Arabidopsis thaliana: one gene and its partner. The protein of the gene in region 2 interacts with the protein of the main gene of each other region in a biochemical or structural test. Each region holds a gene or a part of one and is shown on either strand. Other genes may lie near its edges.

The links. The genes of interacting proteins can lie anywhere in the genome.
Region 1: the proteins of BRL2 (region 2) and LHCB4.1 form a complex in vitro, tested with the Arabidopsis thaliana proteins (one study listed by BioGRID).

What each region holds. Positions count from the first base shown.
Region 1 is NC_003076.8:206,905-211,082, reverse strand, and holds LHCB4.1 (light harvesting complex photosystem II), read right to left. Parts: upstream 2,218-4,178; 5' UTR 2,000-2,217; coding exon 1,490-1,999; intron 1,203-1,489; coding exon 840-1,202; 3' UTR 535-839; downstream 1-534. Other genes in the region: AIRP2 (RING/U-box superfamily protein), read right to left, coding at 2,684-2,894, 2,982-3,216, 3,314-3,380, 3,480-3,630.
Region 2 is NC_003071.7:440,098-446,277, reverse strand, and holds BRL2 (BRI1-like 2), read left to right. Parts: upstream 1-1,953; 5' UTR 1,954-2,041; coding exon 2,042-5,473; 3' UTR 5,474-5,654; downstream 5,655-6,180. UniProt on the Arabidopsis thaliana protein: Receptor with a serine/threonine-protein kinase activity, which may transduce extracellular spatial and temporal signals into downstream cell differentiation responses in provascular and procambial cells.

The sequences.
Region 1 (4,178 bases), on a different chromosome or scaffold from region 2:
AGATTAGTCATACTATCAAAAAAATTAAAATTAGTATTTTGTAACGTCACAAAGATTACTCATACAGTTATGATTTTTTTATATAAAATTACTGTATGTTTTGCTTAACGTCATCATTTTTGTTATATTGTCCGGATTATCCATTTTTGATCGTTGAACCAGCCAATTCTATATTCATAATTGATTATGACGAACCTCATTCCTCAATGAATATTTTTCTTCAAAAGAATATTAGAATTACAATCAATTCATCGAATCTCCACGTTCAATAGTTTGAAAACATTTTTTGTGGTTGTTTCTTCAGTGCATACGAGCAAGTAATTGAACCTGCTTTTTTTTTTTTCCTAAACTAGTAATTGAACCTGCTTGTTATGTGTCATAATCAACGACAAAAATAATAATTCAATGTCCTCCCAAATTACGGAACAGTGACAGTGAGACACGGAATCAATTTCAAGGAGACTTCACAAGACAAGTCTCCCATGTTCATCCAAATCCCACGCGGTGTGTGACTATCCTTTTTTTTTTTTTTTTGTCTGTGGACTTATTTGTTTTTCTGTACGGTTCTCCTTTTTCATTGTCCAAATCAAGAAAAAATAATCACAACATAACTAATGGGTCGGTCTTGTACTCCTGCTATTGGGCCAATCTGTATATGCGACAAAAATACATTTTGAAAATGTACGACGAGTAGGTATAGTAAATAAGGAGAAGCCCAATTTAATGTCATGGGCCAAACATGTAAATAAACCAAACAAGCAAAAGCCCAAAGTCGATTCAGTATCATCATAGCTCTGTTTTTACATAAGTTACAAATAGAATCTCACATGATAATGATTTTAAGATGAGGAGAAGGTATCGATGATGGTGGTGTGGAGTGGATCACTGAGGTGAGTAGCCCAATTGTTGAGTGGACCTTTACCTGTTGCAGCCGCTTGAACCGCGAATCCCAAGAAGGCGACCATCGCAAGACGTGCATGCTTGATCTCAGCTAACTGAAGTTGAGCAGTCTTCTCCGGGTCAGCCGCTAAACCTAGCGGGTCAAAGAACTTGCCTCCGGGGTATAAACGCTTCTCCGAATCAAGCTCGGCGTTGCGCTGGAACTCGATGTAGCCGATCACTAACACCTCGATCCATATCAATGTCGAGATCGAGAAAGGTAATGGCTGCCCCAAGTAGGACGATCCATCTACAAGCTCCACCTGATTGAATAACAACATTTCAACTAATATTTAAATATCACTCATTGAACACTAGACTTGAATATTCTTGACTGAACAGAAACTCAAACAGTCCAATGCTAACGCAAACTGTAAGAAAGAGAGAGAGACAGACGCCAAAGCAAACGCTAAATCAACTAAATTGTACATACATTTCTATCTGAGTCGCAAACAAACGCAAACGCAACTATTTGAATACTAATTTATTAGCATCTTCGAAATAACTAACTTATAACCGATTATCCAAGTGGAGAAGGGAGTGGCGTTACCTTGCCAGCGTCTTGCCATGTAACGCCGGTAAGCCATTCGACGGAGAGAGCGCCGAGAGTAGCGAGCATCGCCCACCGTCCGTGGATGAGTTCGCATTCCCTGAATCTCTGGATTCCGAACACCTCACTGTACGGCTGAAACGGCGTCGATTTGGCGTCGGCAGCTTCCGTACGGGTTCCGATCACGTCTCCGGCCAAGTTCTTAGCCAGATTCTGGTCTAGTGAATCGATATCGAATTGAAGATACTCGGCCGGTTTGCCTAAACCGAAGGGATCAAAACCGTAATCTCCAACCAAGGAACCATCAAGCCAGTCAGGAGAAATGGCGCCTGGGTACCAAAGAGGCCGGTCCGTAGTCACCGTCTTTTTGGCACTCTTTTTGGGAGCTGCCTTCTTCTTTCCGAAACCGAACACGGCTGTGAACCGACCTGAACCGGGATGGATACCGGGAGCCACCCGAGTACCCATGATGGAAGAAGCAGCTGCAGCAGCGGCGGATGTTGCGGCCATCTCCGGCTAATTGGGTTTTGTGATATTCAGAAGATAGAGAAGAAAGATCCGTTTCTTGATACACGATTATAGATGCGTGGAGGTGAGTTTCGGAGCTGGCCTATCTTGGAAAGACGATTATGACCGTTGGATCGATTCACAAATCCATCTGACGGTGAGTAGGATTACTAATCTTATCTATTAAACTCTGCGTTATCTGGTGATGTTTCAAGTCCATTGGCAATAAAATCTAGATGAGGTACAATCTGATTGGGTCAAATAATTTCTTACCCCAGTTAGAAGAAGCCACGTGTACTGCGGTCTTGTGCTTCACTCAAATTGCTGGTTTCCGGTTCAGCCAATTCGATCCATACCGAAACCAAATTACTCCCCAAAACGATCAAAACAAGTCGGTTTGACTGAAACACCAATCGGTTACTGTAATTCATAGTCAGATAGACAGATACTAATTTAAACGAACCAAAATGTGATTAAGTACCCTTAATCAGCAAATATGATATCGAATTTTTGATCTAAATGTCAATAACCAATGGTTGTTATATACAAACCCAAATCTGAGACTATAGAAAGATGAAAAACCAACTAAAAACACATAAATATTATATACAAAGTGGACATAAATAGATGAAATTTGTTTGAAAGAAATTGCTATGTGCATAACAAGAAACAGAGAGAATGTAATGTTCACCGAGGAAGAGGAGCATAAGGGACAAGATTTGGATCAGAAGTAACGAGAGGCAACTTGTCAATGTATATCAACAACCTCTTCAGATTCTCCTTGTAAATCGCTGGTAAATCTGCAATCTCGGCGCTACAAGTGTATATCCATAGATCACCAGAATTCACTCTTTTCAAGCTGCCTCGACAGAACGGGCACGACTGTGACCGTGCACGCCTATTCCAAACAAGAGATTCTATAACTTGTAAGAAAAAGGCTGATGAATGGTGAGAGTGAGTGAAAAGAAGGAAAAGCTTTATATACCAGTTTCTGTAGCAGTTTATACACATGGAGTGATTGCACGTAGGAAGAACAACTTTGTTTCGAATCTCCAAGCAGATTCCACACTCTTCTTCCCTCTCCAAATCGATCTCCGACATCTTTCCTTTATCTGTTCTGTCCTTTTTACGGTATCTTTTGTCGCATATCTCCTTCTGTTTCCTTTCTTCTACATCGGTGATCCCTCCATGAAGTTGCAATAGCGAAGGAAACAACACATCTGCCCAACAACATCCATTGCTAGTCAGAAAAAAACATATCGTCTGGTCTAATCTTATACCTTTAGATTAAGAGAGAATAAGTGATTAACAGATTACCATAGAATTCTCTGATACTAGTTTTGCGTTCATGTAGCGACATTGTGGTCTTCCCATCAACATATGCCTATAAATAAAAAACAGAGAATCACATATCAGGCAGACAAGAACATTGTGATCTTGAAGATCCAGTAGCAATAAAACAGCAGGAAAATTAATAAGAGACCTTATAAATAAGGATCCTAAGCAAGCCCAAAGCGCCAGCGAAATGACAATCAGTCCACTGAAGAAGGAAGAGAAAGAGATGAGCCGCCGGGCTGTAAGATAATCTCATCTGAACGTAGCCACCATCATACTCCTCTGGGTACTCTGACGCCCTACACACACATAGTTCATTTTTTTTTAATCATTTTGATTCAATGATTGGTGAGATTAGTACGCAACATGAACATGTTGCTTCACAGCTTAATCCAAGTATACCAAGTCAACTTAGGATAGCATCAGAGACTATATACGACGAAAGGAAAAAGAATTGACCACTATAGATAGATTTTGTGTGATCTGACCAAAAGGTGGTGGTGGCGTCTGAGACTTGCTAAGGAATAAATTGGAATTTATGAGCTCGCGTAAACGCAAAGTCTTAAATTCAATATGACATCAGCACACATAAGACCCAGCAGACAACAGAGATACAGATTCACAAGTATCAAAAACTGATTATCCTCTGGAAACTTCAGTAGAAGTAAAAAAACAATCTGACCTATCGAATCGGAAGAGACAAAAATCAGCAACTCAAGCAAAGGGAAAACCGAAGTACCAACTAAATATGGATTTAACCACAGCATCAAACAAATTTATGAGGCAAATCAACCACTCTCGACTAAGAACACGATCAGATTCTACCAACACATCGAAACATCAAAAC
Region 2 (6,180 bases):
GGGGAGAAGTCAATCTTTGTGGTATACTGTATTTACTCACTACTCATACAAAATTGCAAATTAGTCTGATTTCGATTGGAATTACTTGTTGAGCGGTCAAATAACTTGACGTTCAAGAGAATACAGAACAAAATTCATACAAAACAGATATAAGGATTAGTGGTAGTGAAAAGAAGAATTTACATAAAGAATTATTTAAAAATATTGGGGCCAAAGGAATCATAACCTCTCATGCCACTAAACCACGAGCTAATTGATGTTGTTTCTTTTGTGGGGCTTTTTCTCTATTACTCTCCACTATTCGGTCCTTTATTTATTAAACAGAATCAATAAAATATACTCTATAGTCTTCAACAGTATGATATATTACAAATTTATAACACACAAAATCACACTATAGGTGATAAGATTTGCACTATTAATTGCAATGGAAAAATGTTCTAAGAATAATTATTTCTTACTAGAAACTATTGATCTTAAAGAAATAGTCTCTTGTGCAATTGAATGGTAGCTAGGGTATAACCAATTGAAACATTTTAAAATATGACTTGTGTATATTTTTTTCTTTAATATGTGTATATGATTATTTATCAATGAACATTTCAAAATAGCATTTTCTCGTTGGCTGAAATAATCAAGCTAATATTTTGCTTAAGTCATACAAATCTACTCATAAACTTGGTGGAAGAAGGCAGTGTAATGATGAAAAGGATGGAGTGTGTGACATGGAACATGATATAAAGGCTCATCTATGGCATATTATATGAAACTAAACTAATTAAAATCACATAAAAATGGAAAAAGAAGTGAGCAACATTATGGTTACACCTTAAAGTTTGTTATTGTAATTTGTAAAGTCACTTCTCTGTTCATTCCCCCACGCCTCTGCCTCGACAGTGAACATTGGATCAACCAAATTTTACAAAAGACCATTTCATATGCGATGCATATTATGACTAAATTGGGTCCCAATTATTTTGACCACACACCCCACCATATGAAATATTTGTATATCGGTTTGGAATAATTTCTCCCAAAATTCCTTTCAATATAATTGCCATTCTTTTGTAAAAGGTTTTGTTTTTTTTTTAAATAAAGTATTAATACAATACACAACAAAAACAAAACAAATTATCCCAAAATTCCAAACTTGATGTGATTATAGACTAGAATTTCTATTATGTTCGTTTTTATTAGTGTTGTCACTATATCACTAACTATATTCATATTCAGTTGCTTGTCAATTATTTTTTTTTGCCAGTCTTAGATTTATTATTTATTGCACTGTTACATAGACGATTCTACAACGGACAATTCCTTCCGACTCTTATTAGATCTAGTTGCTTGTCATCTAATATTTAAATTATTTTAAGAAATGTTATACAACTAATATTTAAATCATTTTAAGAAATGTTATACAACAATAGTATATAGCTAAATTTTTAAATGGAAGTTTATATAATACTACACTTTTTCTTCATTGAAATTTGTGAAACATCTCATAGATACAATTCCCATTTAGAAAATTAGCAGTGATCATAATTCTTTCTAAGGTTCAAAATCCCCACATGGAGCTTTAATGAATTAAAATTATGAAACCATTAGAAACAAATAGATATAGGACTAAATGAAACTGAAAACATATTTTTCTAAATATTAGAGTTTTATTCTATAAACTGAACTTAATTTTTTTGATTATCAAACAACATGTATTCTATTAGATTAATAATGTCACTTACACAAATCACTACAAGTCATGATCACAATTCCACAAAATCATAAGATTGATCATAACCATTTAATAAATCAATCATCTATTAGAAAAACATCATATGTAAAAAAAAACGATTCGACAAAGATGTTTTAAAAATAATAAGCATCAACAATTAATAAAACTTAATAAATTACCTAAAAGCAGCTTTTTCTTTTCTTCAAAAAAAGCCCTTTTTCTTCCTCTGCTTTAGCATCGTCTCTTTATCATCTAAATGTTTCAACTTACTTACTTCTCCTTCTCCATTCAAACTCAAAAAACCTCCCTCCAATGACTACTTCACCAATCCGGGTTCGGATCCGGACTCGGATCCAAATCTCCTTCATCTTCCTCCTTACCCATCTCTCACAATCTTCCTCCTCCGACCAATCTTCACTCAAAACCGACTCATTATCACTCCTCTCTTTCAAAACAATGATCCAAGATGATCCAAACAACATTCTCTCAAACTGGTCACCTCGTAAATCCCCTTGTCAATTCTCCGGCGTCACTTGTCTCGGAGGAAGAGTCACCGAGATTAATCTCTCCGGTAGTGGCCTCTCCGGAATCGTCTCCTTCAATGCTTTCACCTCTCTTGATTCTCTCTCTGTTCTCAAACTCTCAGAGAACTTCTTCGTCTTAAACTCAACCTCTCTTCTTCTTCTTCCTTTAACCCTAACTCATCTCGAACTCTCTTCCTCCGGTTTAATCGGAACCCTCCCTGAAAATTTCTTCTCCAAATACTCAAATCTTATTTCCATCACCCTCTCTTACAATAACTTCACCGGAAAGTTACCTAATGATCTTTTCTTAAGCAGCAAGAAACTCCAAACCCTTGATCTTTCTTACAACAACATTACCGGTCCAATCTCCGGTTTAACCATTCCTCTTTCTTCTTGCGTCTCCATGACCTATCTCGATTTCTCCGGTAACAGTATCTCCGGCTATATCTCTGACTCACTCATCAACTGCACCAACCTCAAAAGCTTGAATCTTTCTTACAACAACTTCGATGGGCAGATTCCAAAATCTTTCGGTGAGCTTAAACTCTTACAAAGTTTGGATCTTTCTCATAACCGACTCACCGGTTGGATCCCGCCGGAGATCGGAGATACTTGCCGGTCATTACAAAACCTCCGGCTTTCTTACAACAACTTCACTGGTGTGATCCCTGAGTCGTTGTCCTCATGTTCTTGGCTACAAAGTCTTGACCTTTCAAACAACAACATCTCCGGTCCGTTTCCGAACACTATCCTCCGGAGTTTTGGATCTCTTCAAATCTTACTTCTCAGCAACAACTTAATCTCCGGTGACTTTCCGACTTCAATCTCTGCTTGTAAGAGCTTGAGAATCGCTGACTTCAGCTCGAATCGATTCTCCGGTGTGATTCCACCGGATTTATGTCCCGGAGCAGCTTCATTAGAAGAGCTAAGACTCCCGGATAATCTCGTCACCGGAGAGATTCCACCGGCGATATCTCAATGCTCTGAGCTACGAACGATTGATCTCAGTCTCAATTATCTCAACGGTACAATCCCACCGGAGATCGGAAACCTCCAGAAACTCGAGCAATTCATAGCTTGGTACAACAACATCGCCGGAGAAATCCCACCGGAGATCGGAAAACTACAAAACCTAAAAGATTTGATCCTCAACAACAATCAACTCACCGGAGAAATCCCACCGGAATTTTTCAATTGCAGTAACATCGAATGGGTCTCATTCACAAGCAACAGATTAACCGGAGAAGTGCCTAAAGATTTCGGAATCCTTTCCCGGTTAGCCGTTCTTCAGCTCGGTAACAACAATTTCACCGGAGAAATCCCACCGGAGCTAGGAAAATGCACAACTCTGGTTTGGCTTGATCTTAACACAAACCACTTAACCGGTGAAATCCCTCCCCGGTTAGGTCGTCAACCCGGTTCAAAAGCACTTTCCGGTTTACTCTCAGGAAACACAATGGCTTTTGTTAGAAACGTTGGAAACTCATGTAAAGGTGTTGGAGGTTTGGTTGAGTTCTCAGGGATCAGACCAGAGAGGCTTCTTCAGATTCCATCTCTTAAAAGCTGTGACTTCACAAGAATGTATTCAGGTCCAATTTTGAGTCTATTCACAAGATATCAAACCATTGAGTATCTTGATCTTTCTTATAATCAGCTTAGAGGTAAAATCCCTGATGAGATTGGAGAAATGATTGCTCTTCAAGTTCTTGAGCTTTCTCATAATCAACTCTCCGGCGAGATTCCGTTTACGATTGGTCAGCTCAAGAATCTCGGTGTTTTCGATGCTTCGGATAATCGGTTGCAGGGTCAAATCCCTGAATCTTTCTCGAATTTGTCTTTCTTGGTGCAGATTGATTTGTCGAATAACGAGTTAACTGGTCCGATTCCTCAGAGAGGTCAGTTAAGCACGCTTCCGGCGACTCAGTACGCGAATAATCCGGGGCTTTGCGGTGTTCCTTTACCGGAATGTAAGAATGGAAACAATCAGCTTCCTGCTGGAACAGAGGAAGGGAAACGTGCTAAGCACGGAACTAGGGCAGCTTCTTGGGCGAATAGCATTGTTTTGGGAGTGTTGATTTCCGCTGCTTCGGTTTGTATTTTAATCGTTTGGGCGATTGCGGTTCGTGCGAGGAGGAGAGATGCGGATGATGCGAAGATGCTTCACAGTTTGCAGGCGGTTAATTCCGCCACTACATGGAAGATAGAGAAGGAGAAAGAGCCGTTGAGTATTAATGTAGCGACGTTTCAGCGACAGTTGAGAAAGCTTAAGTTTTCGCAGCTTATCGAGGCGACAAACGGATTCTCAGCCGCGAGTATGATCGGACACGGCGGATTCGGTGAGGTTTTTAAGGCGACGCTTAAAGACGGGTCTTCCGTGGCGATCAAGAAGCTCATTAGACTTAGTTGTCAAGGAGATCGAGAGTTCATGGCAGAAATGGAAACCTTAGGGAAGATCAAACACCGAAACCTCGTACCGCTCTTGGGATACTGTAAAATCGGGGAAGAGAGATTGCTTGTTTACGAGTTTATGCAATACGGAAGCCTCGAGGAGGTGCTTCACGGACCAAGAACAGGCGAAAAACGGAGGATTTTAGGTTGGGAAGAGAGGAAAAAGATTGCAAAAGGAGCAGCAAAAGGACTTTGTTTCTTGCATCACAATTGTATCCCTCACATAATCCACCGCGACATGAAATCGAGCAACGTGCTTCTCGATCAAGACATGGAAGCAAGAGTTTCAGATTTCGGAATGGCGAGACTGATCAGCGCATTAGACACACATTTGAGTGTAAGTACCTTGGCAGGCACGCCAGGTTACGTACCACCAGAGTATTACCAAAGTTTCAGATGTACCGCAAAAGGCGACGTGTACTCAATCGGAGTAGTGATGCTCGAGATCTTAAGCGGGAAAAGACCAACGGATAAAGAAGAGTTTGGTGATACGAATTTAGTAGGTTGGTCGAAGATGAAGGCAAGAGAAGGGAAACACATGGAAGTGATTGATGAAGACCTTCTAAAAGAAGGTTCTTCGGAGTCTCTGAATGAGAAAGAAGGTTTTGAAGGAGGAGTGATTGTGAAAGAAATGTTGAGGTATTTGGAGATAGCGTTACGGTGCGTTGACGATTTCCCATCAAAGAGACCTAATATGTTACAAGTTGTTGCTTCGTTGAGAGAACTTCGTGGAAGTGAAAATAATAGTCACAGTCACAGTAACAGCTTGTAACAACATGAAGATCTCTGTTTTTTTTTGTTTTTCTGGCTTTTTCAATGCATTTTTTTTTCCTGTGAGAATGTGTATGTGTGGTTGATCAATGATTAAAATTTCATGATGTATCAAGACTTAATTAATGTAATTTAAATTCTGATTCCTTTAATAAATAACTATGCAGATTATAACAAATCAGAGTCTTAGTTGGTGAATTGTTCTTTATTACCGAGTGTCGTTAGCTCAATTGGTAAAGACCGTAAACGAAGCTTAGAGAACGCCGATTTGAGTAACGCTTGAAACGAAACTAATATTACACGATGTGGTTTCGTGCATGAAAGGATTACCGACATTGGCCCAGAACTTCCTGGTATTAGAAAAAAAAAAAAAAAAAAATTGTTCTTTATTAAACGCTCGAATACACACGATTAGGCTTTGGATAGAGAACATACAAATGGGCTCAACAACTGAAGTTTCAAAATTATATTTGGGCCATAAAGAACTATTTAGAATATAGAAACATTAGGCCCATAATGACTCTTTCTCCTTCAGGCCTATGAACATCTAACACTATAAGACTATACATTCGTGAGTAGAATATTTTTTTTTGTGAGAATAGTATTTCAAACCACAAAAGAGAATATATTTCAATGTGTTACTTCATTAGTATGTGTGAATTTATACTTGTTGATGTGAATCAAGTAGGTGGTTGTCTAGTAATTTAG